2 linked regions of the Oryza sativa Japonica Group genome follow. The protein of the gene in region 1 binds, or shares a complex with, the protein of each later gene. Links are inferred from orthologs where the notes say so. Each region holds a gene or a part of one and is shown in the gene's direction. Other genes may lie near its edges.

Region 1 (4,765 bases):
TTTGAGCATTGGAACTATAGCATCAATGAGTTGTTCATCTGCTCTAGATGTTTTTTTATATAAAAATAATCAATAACTTGCTGCTACCCTTAGTGTTGCCATTTGTGCAGTCTGTATGTCACACAATGCTTCAACAAAAGCATATAACTAGAGTCTATACTTGCAGGTGTGTACCCCAAAAATACCTCAACATTTGTACCTAATGTTGTCAACGCCCAGGGAAATCCAATGCAGGTTTGTCTAGTGCCAGTAATAACAGCTTTGACCATTACGAAATTAATAGAATATGTCCATATTATTGCTAGTTGGGCTGAAAGCAAAAAAAGTTACAAAAGGCAGATGTTTTGTTTCCCGTGTATCAATTTGCCATATAATTTGTAATGGTATATTGGTATTCCTTTCTATGATCAACTGTATTAAGTGTTGGTTAGAATGCTTTCCCTTGAACTATTATTAAGACAATTGCATTTCATAAGAGCAATCACCAACCTGACCTCATGCAGGCCTTTGATGTTTCTATCTTGATGTTCAAATTTGGGCCTTCATTCTAATAGCAGGTGTCTGGAGGACAGTTACTTGGCAGACCTGCTCCATCACCTGGAGCTACAGGAACGCCTAATTTTGAAAATGTATCTACTCCTCCAATGCCATATGCAAACTCCCCTAGGTCAGGGACCAATATGATGAACACCCCTTCACCCCAGCAGCATTTGACGGCACAACAACATAGGCAAAAACTGATGCAAACATCTCAGCAACAGCAGCTACATGCTCAACAGCAACTAAGACCATCGGCTGCTGGGATGCTAGCACAGGTAAGGTAATTTTTATTTCGGAGGCTTTTTTGTTGTCTGGGTTACGGTTTATCATCTCAGTTGTCACAGCACCCAAAGGTTATGTAGCTATTAAAAGCACATTTCTTTTCATTTTCTATGCTGCTGTCTTAAAATTATTCCATTTCATTTACTTCAAAGCATTGTTCCTTCCTTTTCTAGTGCTTGATTCTCCATACTTTTCCTGTAGAGCGCAATTCCTCAGCTACAAGATCTGCAGGGCCAATCCCAACAAAAATTACAGGTAATTCTACCACTGATTGTTTCCCTTTTCTATGTATTCTACTTGCTGAAACAGTAACAATTTCTTACAAACCTTTTAACTTGTTGTAAAACCTTATAGGTCCCTGGCCAACAGCAGATGCAGTACAATCAAGCCTTGTCACAACAGTATCAGAATAGGCAGATGCAAGCTGGGCGCATGCAACCTGGCATGTCCCAGAGTCAACTGAACCAAGGAAATCAGCTAAGAAGTCATATTAGCCAGTTCACTGGAGCTGCAAACAGTGCAATGTTTACTGCTGCACAGGCATCTTCGAACTCACAGATGGTTAGATAGCATCCTCCTTTTTAGTAATTTAGTGCAAAAAAACGTCAGTTGCTACATATTTTAGTTTGTTCAGTGTCATCTATCTTCTAGATTTCTTTTTAATAATCCCCTGATGTTTGTATAACTTGTTTATTTTTGTTTTTGAATTTAGATGGCAAATATACCTGGGTCGATGCAATCACAATCACTTTTGCCACAAATGCAAGGCCTTAATCAGTACAGTTTGACTGGTGGGCATCCTCAAAGGAGCCATCCATCCCAAATGCTGACTGACCAAAGTATGTGCCGTGTTATATTCTTTTTAATTTTGTTTACTATCTATACTCCTTTAAAAGAAGGTAGTGGTGGTGGCAGTGAATCTGCCACCCCCCATCTACTCATTGTAAATTTTGCGGTTACCCCTTGAACTTCTTAATATTAAAGATCAAATCTAAATGGATAGCCACATAAAAGAGTAGATTAAGATGAATATTCCCTATAGCAAAAAAATTGGTAACACATTAATACATTTTCTTTTAGCCGTAGCAAAGCATGGGCATTCAGCTACAGTAGTTGTTAGAGAGATTATATACAACTATCTGCTATGCTGGTTCTGTTACTGTCATACTTGGTACTAGTAAACTCAGAAGATATATGTGCTAATTATTACTGGGTATTGCATTTATCCACATGCTGATCATAGCTCAGAGGAACAAAATATATTGCTCCTGATTATTTATCCTATTGTGAGGTTAGGCAGGATTCAGCTTGTAGGTACAATATTTGTAGTTACATTTGTACCTACAAACAGTCATGGGCATTTCTGGTAAAATTTTTAGCATGCTGTTATTCTATATATGTTTTATATCTCCTAGATTTATGTCTTGTCCAGGCAAGTCACTAGCTTTGTGGTATTGGAAATAGTACTAGTTGAAAGTCTTTAAATGCTCATGATTTAGAACTGTCCATTCATCTATTCTTTTCCCGTACTAATAATTTGTGAGGAAGTTATCCTCAATCCTCACTATTTCAAATGTTATATTTATATTTACCGAGCGATTCTCTCCATTACAGTGTTTGGTATGGGAGGCGCAAATTCTACCAGCATGATGGGAATGCAGCAGCAGCAGCAATTTAACATGCAAGCAAATGCTCAGAACCTGCAACAAGGCATGACAGGCCTCCAGAACCAGACACAAAATCCCAACTTTCCCCAGCAGAGGCAGCAAAACCAGCAATGATTCAAACAAGTAGTGTTTTGCTAGGCCGAGGAAGAATTTTCCATATCTTAAGTCCATGCATGCCGTCAGCAGAGGGCAAAACGTCGTGTGGCTGGCCAAATAGCACAGCAGCAACTGCTGCTTTCTTCCTTGTTACAGGGCATCACCAATGGACACATTAGTTTGGTGATATCAGCTGGCTGTATCTATCTTATAATGATGGATGCTTATGTCTTATGTCTTCATGCGGTCCTCTATTGATTTAAGGGTTTCATGGTAAATCTGCCTCATCTATACTAATATAAAAAGGAGGAGTTGTGCCTAGCAATCCTACATGTGAAATCACCTCCCATCTCATCCGTCCATCTACTATCTCATCTCATCTCCACCGTCAATTCGTTTCGCTATCCTCCTTGCTCCACCGATTCCAATGATTATAGCGACCTTATCCTCTCCACCGTCCACGCGCGAGCCTGTGCCATCTCTGCTGCGCACCCCGCCTCCGCCGCATTCAATCCATCGCCGCAACGACAAATCCTCAAATCCGACGCGCTCTCCCAATCGTCGTCGTTGCCTCCTCCACTCCGCCTCGGTCCTCCTCGCCTCCTCGCTCCTCCTTGCGTGGCGCCGCTCCGCCGTCGTCCCCTTGCTTCGCTCCCCCTCTCCTCCTCGCCTCCTCGCTCCTCCCCGCGTGGCGCACGCCGCCATCGTCCCCTTCCGCCGCCGCCTAGACGCCGCCGTCGTACCCTTCCACCGCTGCCCGGACGCCGCCGCCCATACGTCGCCATCGTCCCCTTCCACAGCCGGAGCCGCGGTCTTCCCCATCGGCCACACAAATCGCGCCATGGCAACTCACAAAATTCCCCACGCGTGGACCACCAAGGCTCCATCGCGCTAATCCCGCGGTGGCTCCCCTAATCACGATAACGCCGCCGCCGCGCCTTTGAACGTTGTTGCGCCATCCGTCATCATCCGCACTTCCGCCGCCGTCGTCACCGCAATCAGTATCCTGGTGGTCCAGGGTTTCCACCAGTGCCGCTGCCCCGTCTCGCCCTGGTTGTGCATCCTCCCACCAGCGTCGCAGCTCCGCCATCGCCCTGCAATCGGTGCCTCAGTGGTCCAGGGCTCCGCTGGCGACGCCACCCCGTCGAGCCACGGTGGTCAAGCCTTCCGCCGACACTGAGCCTCCATCTTTGTCGCTGCTCTGTGAGTCCTCCAGTGTTGCCACCGTTGGAAGAGGATAGACTCAGCAGCTAGGCCTCCCAGCCGTGCGCCTCCCTCTCTTATGTTGGTGATACCTGATTCAACTCAAATCGACTCTTTTCAATCCCCTTTTTTCCTCTTTGTGAATTTTCCCCATTAGTTCTCTAGCTGAATTTTCTTATTCAAGCTTAATGGTATGCATCTCCTTTTAGTTATGTTATTCGGTTCTTCTTTACCTTTGTGGATAATTGCAGGCTATATATTACGTGATTGGTGCTGCAGTTTCATACATACTAACATTATAGTTGTCATGTTGAATATCTTGCAGATTATCTTACATAGAGCAAATTCAACCATGCCTGGTCTCTTATCTTTTTTATTCAGGCGAAAAATAACAGTTCCTTTCTTACTGAAATGGAAAATACATGAAACCCTACACTGCAATTTTCTGCAATGACAGGGTAAATAGCCATATCAAGCCCGTTTGTTGCTGTTGGGCTGCCTGCCTCTTATTTTTCTTCTTTATTTCTGTGATCATCAACAATTACTAGATTGTCGTCCCTTATGGTCTTTCATTTGATTCACTGCACGGTTGATGAGTTCACTCATTTGCTGCCAATTGTTGTTGACTAATTTCTTTTTCACATTTTCTTTTATCTAAATATATTTATTCTGTACTTCTATTGGGCCATATATAGTCTGATTTAGTGTTTGTCATTTCAGGTGACCTTGCTTCTTAGCCAATTGGAGCACAAAAGAAAAATCCAATAAACAGGAAAACATGATTTAGTCTTGGACATCATTTCTGAAGGCTTTTGCACTTAAGAAACGCGAATAGACAAGAATAAGGTATGCAGTAAACATGATACTTCTGTGTGGCTCACTACTTCACTGGTCCTACTACTTTAGAGCTATATATTTTTGTGTGACTGTAGATGGGTTCCATTAATGGATGGCTGTGAGAACTAACATTTCAATTT
Region 2 (4,701 bases), on another chromosome or scaffold:
CCTATCTCTGGAGAAGCTTCATCAAGATCGAGCTCGCTTGCCTCATTGGATTTGCCTCGTTGCCCTCACCAAGAACGGTAGCGGAACAAGGTTGCCACGCCCACCAAGGATAGGGGGCATGTGCTCGCCATTGCCTACAGCTTGAGTCTGTCATTAAGGTCAACGACATGGACGACGTGCTCCAGCGAGCCATCGAGGATGACCTCCCCCTCGGTGGCAATGATGACTACAAGAGCTCGTCGACATCTACCCCTTGTCCTCCGACGGGTGGTGGCTATCCCTTGGCCATGCAGAGATATGCACGTGACCCTCCTCTCTCTCTCCCTCACTATTGCCATGTATGGCTCCACAACATATAAAGGAGAAGGACTCTTAGATCTCGATGACAGCGAGGTCAATCACCATCCTTGTCCATTGCTAGGCCTTATTAACCGAGGCGTTGATAGAGGTGAAGGTGGGAAAAGGACGTCGGATTAGAGGAGGCGACAGAGAGAAGGGGAAGTGGCTTGAGGCTCGGATCTGTGAAGGAGAAACACTGATGGGACCCGGCTTTGTCCAGATCAGTGAGGGGCCTCGGTGTGGCAACCGTTGGAGCCCACAATGAAGAGGACATCTACGGCAGCACTGGGCCTCTCCGACTCTCCATCACCGCTGTGGCCCTTCCCTCCTTTGCTCCACAAGGTTGCCAACAGAACCAAGCTTAGTTGGTTGTGTCGGTGGTGGCTTTGTCGTCTAAGTCACTGACACTATTCATGCTTGAGCTCGTCACCGCGTGGAGAAAGGAGAGGGAAGAAAAGAAAAAACAAAAGCATGAGGAGAAAGAGAAGGGGACGACATGTGGGTCCCACATGCTGACTTAATCGGTTAGACCAGTTCAATGAGCCACGTTAACGAAAACCACCCTCAAAATAACTAAAAAGAGTTTTTTTATTCACCGGTGTTAATAGCCGAGGGTTCGATATACACGGTTTGCGATTAAGGGAGAACGAATCAGATTGGACCTATAGTCGAGGGAGACAAATTGGACTTATTCCGCTCAAATACTAGGGCCCTGATAAGGCCAGGCCTGGGCTTCGAGCTTCGGCCCAAAATCAACATATCCTTTGGGCTTTTGGACTATGTTGGGCTCTGAAGCTAAGCTTAGTTCACTTCACAGCCAGCGCCGACGAGAGGAGGAGCAGATCGGCTAGGGTTCCGGCGATGGCCTCCTCGGCGGCGGCGCGGCGGCGGCAGGAGATGGCGGCGGAGGGGCAGCGCCACCTGGAGGAGACCATCGCCGCCGCGTTCCAGATCCTCTCCTCCATGAACGACGAGCTCTGCAACCCCACGCTCTGGTCCTCCTCCTCCGCCGCCGCCGCCGCGGCGGGCGGCGCCGGCGGACTCCAGCACCACGGCAACAACCACCACCACCACCACCAGCACCACCACCACCACGGCGGTCTCCCTCCGCCGCCGCCGCCGCTGCACTCCGCGGACTCCGACGCCGCCGACGCCGCCGGGGGAGGGCCCGGGGGCGCGCCGGGCTCCGGCGGGTCGCTCGACGAGGCCAGGCACCGGTACAAGGTCGCCATGGCGGCGCTCCGCACGTCCATCGCCGCCGTGTCGTCCTGTGCTCAGGTCAGCACACGAATTTACCCGACATTGCATGCTCCCGTAGTATGTATGCAACCACGAAATGCGTGTTTCTAGTGATCGTCTAGTGGAAATTGTGAAACGTATTGCACTCTTTGTTGATATCAAGTTAGGTGCTTATACATAGGTAAGGGAGCCAAATAATTTTTGCAAAAGAAAATTTCTTATTATTGATACCAATGTAAGGGAATGTAAGGGATGTTGTGATGTAGGTTCGGACTACATGGATGTGGACTATATATATGTTTCAATCAACATGAGCTTTTAGTGTTCAATGTTCATGAGACAAAAATAGTAGTTTTATATGATTCTATTTTTAGCAGTAAGTGTAATCCTGATGTGCAAAATATGGTGCTATGGAGAAACCTCATAACAGTTTACTTCTTTGTAATGATGTTGTGGTTTTCTTCGTAGGAGATGGGATCGACAGAACACAAAGCTGATCAAGCTGAGATTGAGAGATTGGAAGAACATGCATCTGCTTTGAGAAAGGTACTATCTTGGGAATGTTCTAGCAATATAATCAATATCATTTTGCTGTATTCAGAATTTTTCCCTGAACCAGTTGGTAACTGGTGCTTATTTAGCCATGTCAATCCCAAATATTTCCCAAACAACCTGTTTTGAACATAATGTGTGTGTGTGTGTGTGTGTGTATATATATATATATATATATATATATATATATATATATATATATATATATATATATATATATATATATATATATATATATATATATATATATATATATATATATATATATATATATATATATATATATATATATATATATATATGTTCCTTTTATGCTTCAATCATTTTAATTCAAAAAGTCCTGAGAAGAGTGTAATCCCCAATTTTTACCTGAAACCATTTTAGATAGCCAGGATCTAGTTTGGCAAGCTGTGATACTGTGTTGCTTGTAGTGTTTTGGATAGTCATGTTCATTCTGTTGAACTCGTCAAAAAAGCGTTCCATCTTGATCTTTCCTGGCAATATTCATGCTTGTTAAGTTGTTATCTTATCATTGTTTTTTCTGCACTGGATACTGCATGTCATTATTGTTTGCATACTTGGATTTGCCTGCTAGTTTAGAACTTACTCCCTCCGTCCCAAAATAAATAAACATAGTATGGAATGTGACACACCCTAATACTAGGAATCTGGATAGGGGTCTGTTACTAGGTTTGTTATTTTGGGACAGAGGGAGTAAGTTTTTGCAAATCCACCTTTGATGCTAATTGGATTCTGGACTATTTAGCAAATCCTTTTCATCCTTTGGAGGGCTGTTGGCTGTAATGGCCTTGTAAGTCTCAACTACTCCTTATCTATGCTAGATCATTATAGCATAAATACAGATTATTCTCCTTGATGTGTATAAATGTGTATAGAAAAATGGATTTGTGGCTTATTCAGTTCCATTTGTATGATTTATTGAGATCAGTGATTTTCATGTACTCCTATGTTTGAAGTGTAGCAAACCATAGTTATTAAGACCGGACCGGTGATCGAACTGTTAGGGTACTCGGTTCACTGGTTTATTGGTCGGACCAGTCAAACCGCCGGTTTAAAGCGGTTCAAATAGATGTGTGTTAGAATACTAGAACAACATGTGACATAGCCGGCTGAGACTCTCCGTGGAAGCAAGGAGGTCTTGGTTCGATCTTCAGTTCAGCAGGTTTTTTCCTATTTTCTCTAACTCCACGTGACACCCTCCAGCAGTCGAACCACCTTCGGTTTTTGTCTGGTTCTGCAGAAAACCGCCCGGTTCAATGGGTTTTTGCCGGTCTGTTTGCTCAACGATCTTTTAGCTGGACTGGACCAGCCAACGCCCTGGTTCCCTTTTTTTCTGATCGGACCACTGGTCTGGTCTAGTTCTAATAACTATGTAGCAAACAGTGTTCTCTAATGCCTCGATTACATAGTTTGTTCCTAAAAAGTTCAAAGCATTTCATTTTAAACATACACTGGTCAGTACAATCTCAATTAGCTGATCCCATGTGTCCTAGTTCAGATTTCTATATATGCCCGTGGTATCATGGTCTGTGGAAGTTTTGAGTCCTCACGCTTTTGACATATATAATACATTTTTTGTTTCAACCTAGTAATGTGGCATACTGTTCTCTGGTACCGTAAACCAGTCTAATACAGGATGTTTACTGCAGGAAATTGAAAGCAAAAACAAGCATGTAAAGCTCCTTATCGACCAACTCCATGATTTAATATCGGACATATCAATGTGGCAGAGTCCTTGCTCAGTGTGAAAACTCATCGGCATTTATCCTTTAGGAATCCAAAAATCATAGCTAGAAGTATGTTAATGCAAAATTGTATCAGCTGACCTTGAGAGAGAAATCTGAAGGGATACAATCAGTTTGCAAATACAATATTGTAATGATTTTTCTTTCAAGTATTCAGAAAGTGTACTATGAGTAGTGATAAACACGAAGTAGCTAGTAACTGAAACAAACATCTGGTGTATATTTTCCCACCAATTTGGCCTTGCTTTCATTTCCAAGACTTCTGTATACTCTTTGAGCAACCATGACCTCTGTACACTTTTTCCTTTGTCGAGCATGATGATATTTGTGTCCTCACAAGCAATGGAAATAGTAATACATATGATTAATCTTAATTTCTTTGGCGAGGTAAAGCTTTGCTTAATAGTAACTTGGCCAAACACCTTCAATTGATCTGCCATATGTGCGCAAGTTTCGAGTAACAGGACCAATACGCCAAGACAAGAAGCTGACCGGTTAGCTGACATGATGTGGAAATAACAGATGTTCATGATTCTTCTGTTCCATCAATTAAGGGTTGGGTAGTTACCAGTTTGAACTTTTGTAGTACTTCAAACATCCAAGGACATTCTGCAAGTCACAGGTTAACCAACAGATATACCATACTGCCCAAGTCATACAGCATTTCATGGGAAATGGCAGAATGCAATAATCAAATCCTACTAAGCAACAATAATGTACTCAGAACATTATATTATTTCCCCTCGAATTACATATGTAAAGTGTTCCTAAATAACAATAATTTACTCAGAACATTAGATAGATC

Evidence for each region. Proteins that work in one complex are often made in the same cells at the same time.
Region 2: mediator of RNA polymerase II transcription subunit 8 (region 1) and mediator of RNA polymerase II transcription subunit 30 share a complex: the UniProt entries of both Arabidopsis thaliana proteins name them as parts of the mediator complex. The link is inferred for Oryza sativa Japonica Group from reciprocal best matches to the Arabidopsis thaliana genes MED8 and AT5G63480.

The regions. Positions count from the first base shown.
Region 1 is NC_089037.1:18,127,199-18,131,963, forward strand, and holds part of mediator of RNA polymerase II transcription subunit 8, read left to right. Parts: intron 1-166; coding exon 167-234; intron 235-554; coding exon 555-815; intron 816-1,023; coding exon 1,024-1,077; intron 1,078-1,176; coding exon 1,177-1,383; intron 1,384-1,534; coding exon 1,535-1,661; intron 1,662-2,436; coding exon 2,437-2,603; 3' UTR 2,604-4,246; intron 4,247-4,508; 3' UTR 4,509-4,634; exon of another isoform or gene 4,635-4,765. UniProt on the Arabidopsis thaliana protein: Component of the Mediator complex, a coactivator involved in the regulated transcription of nearly all RNA polymerase II-dependent genes.
Region 2 is NC_089038.1:19,468,543-19,473,243, reverse strand, and holds mediator of RNA polymerase II transcription subunit 30, read left to right. Parts: upstream 1-1,130; 5' UTR 1,131-1,200; coding exon 1,201-1,617; intron 1,618-2,046; coding exon 2,047-2,124; intron 2,125-3,800; coding exon 3,801-3,899; 3' UTR 3,900-4,270; downstream 4,271-4,701. UniProt on the Arabidopsis thaliana protein: Component of the Mediator complex, a coactivator involved in the regulated transcription of nearly all RNA polymerase II-dependent genes.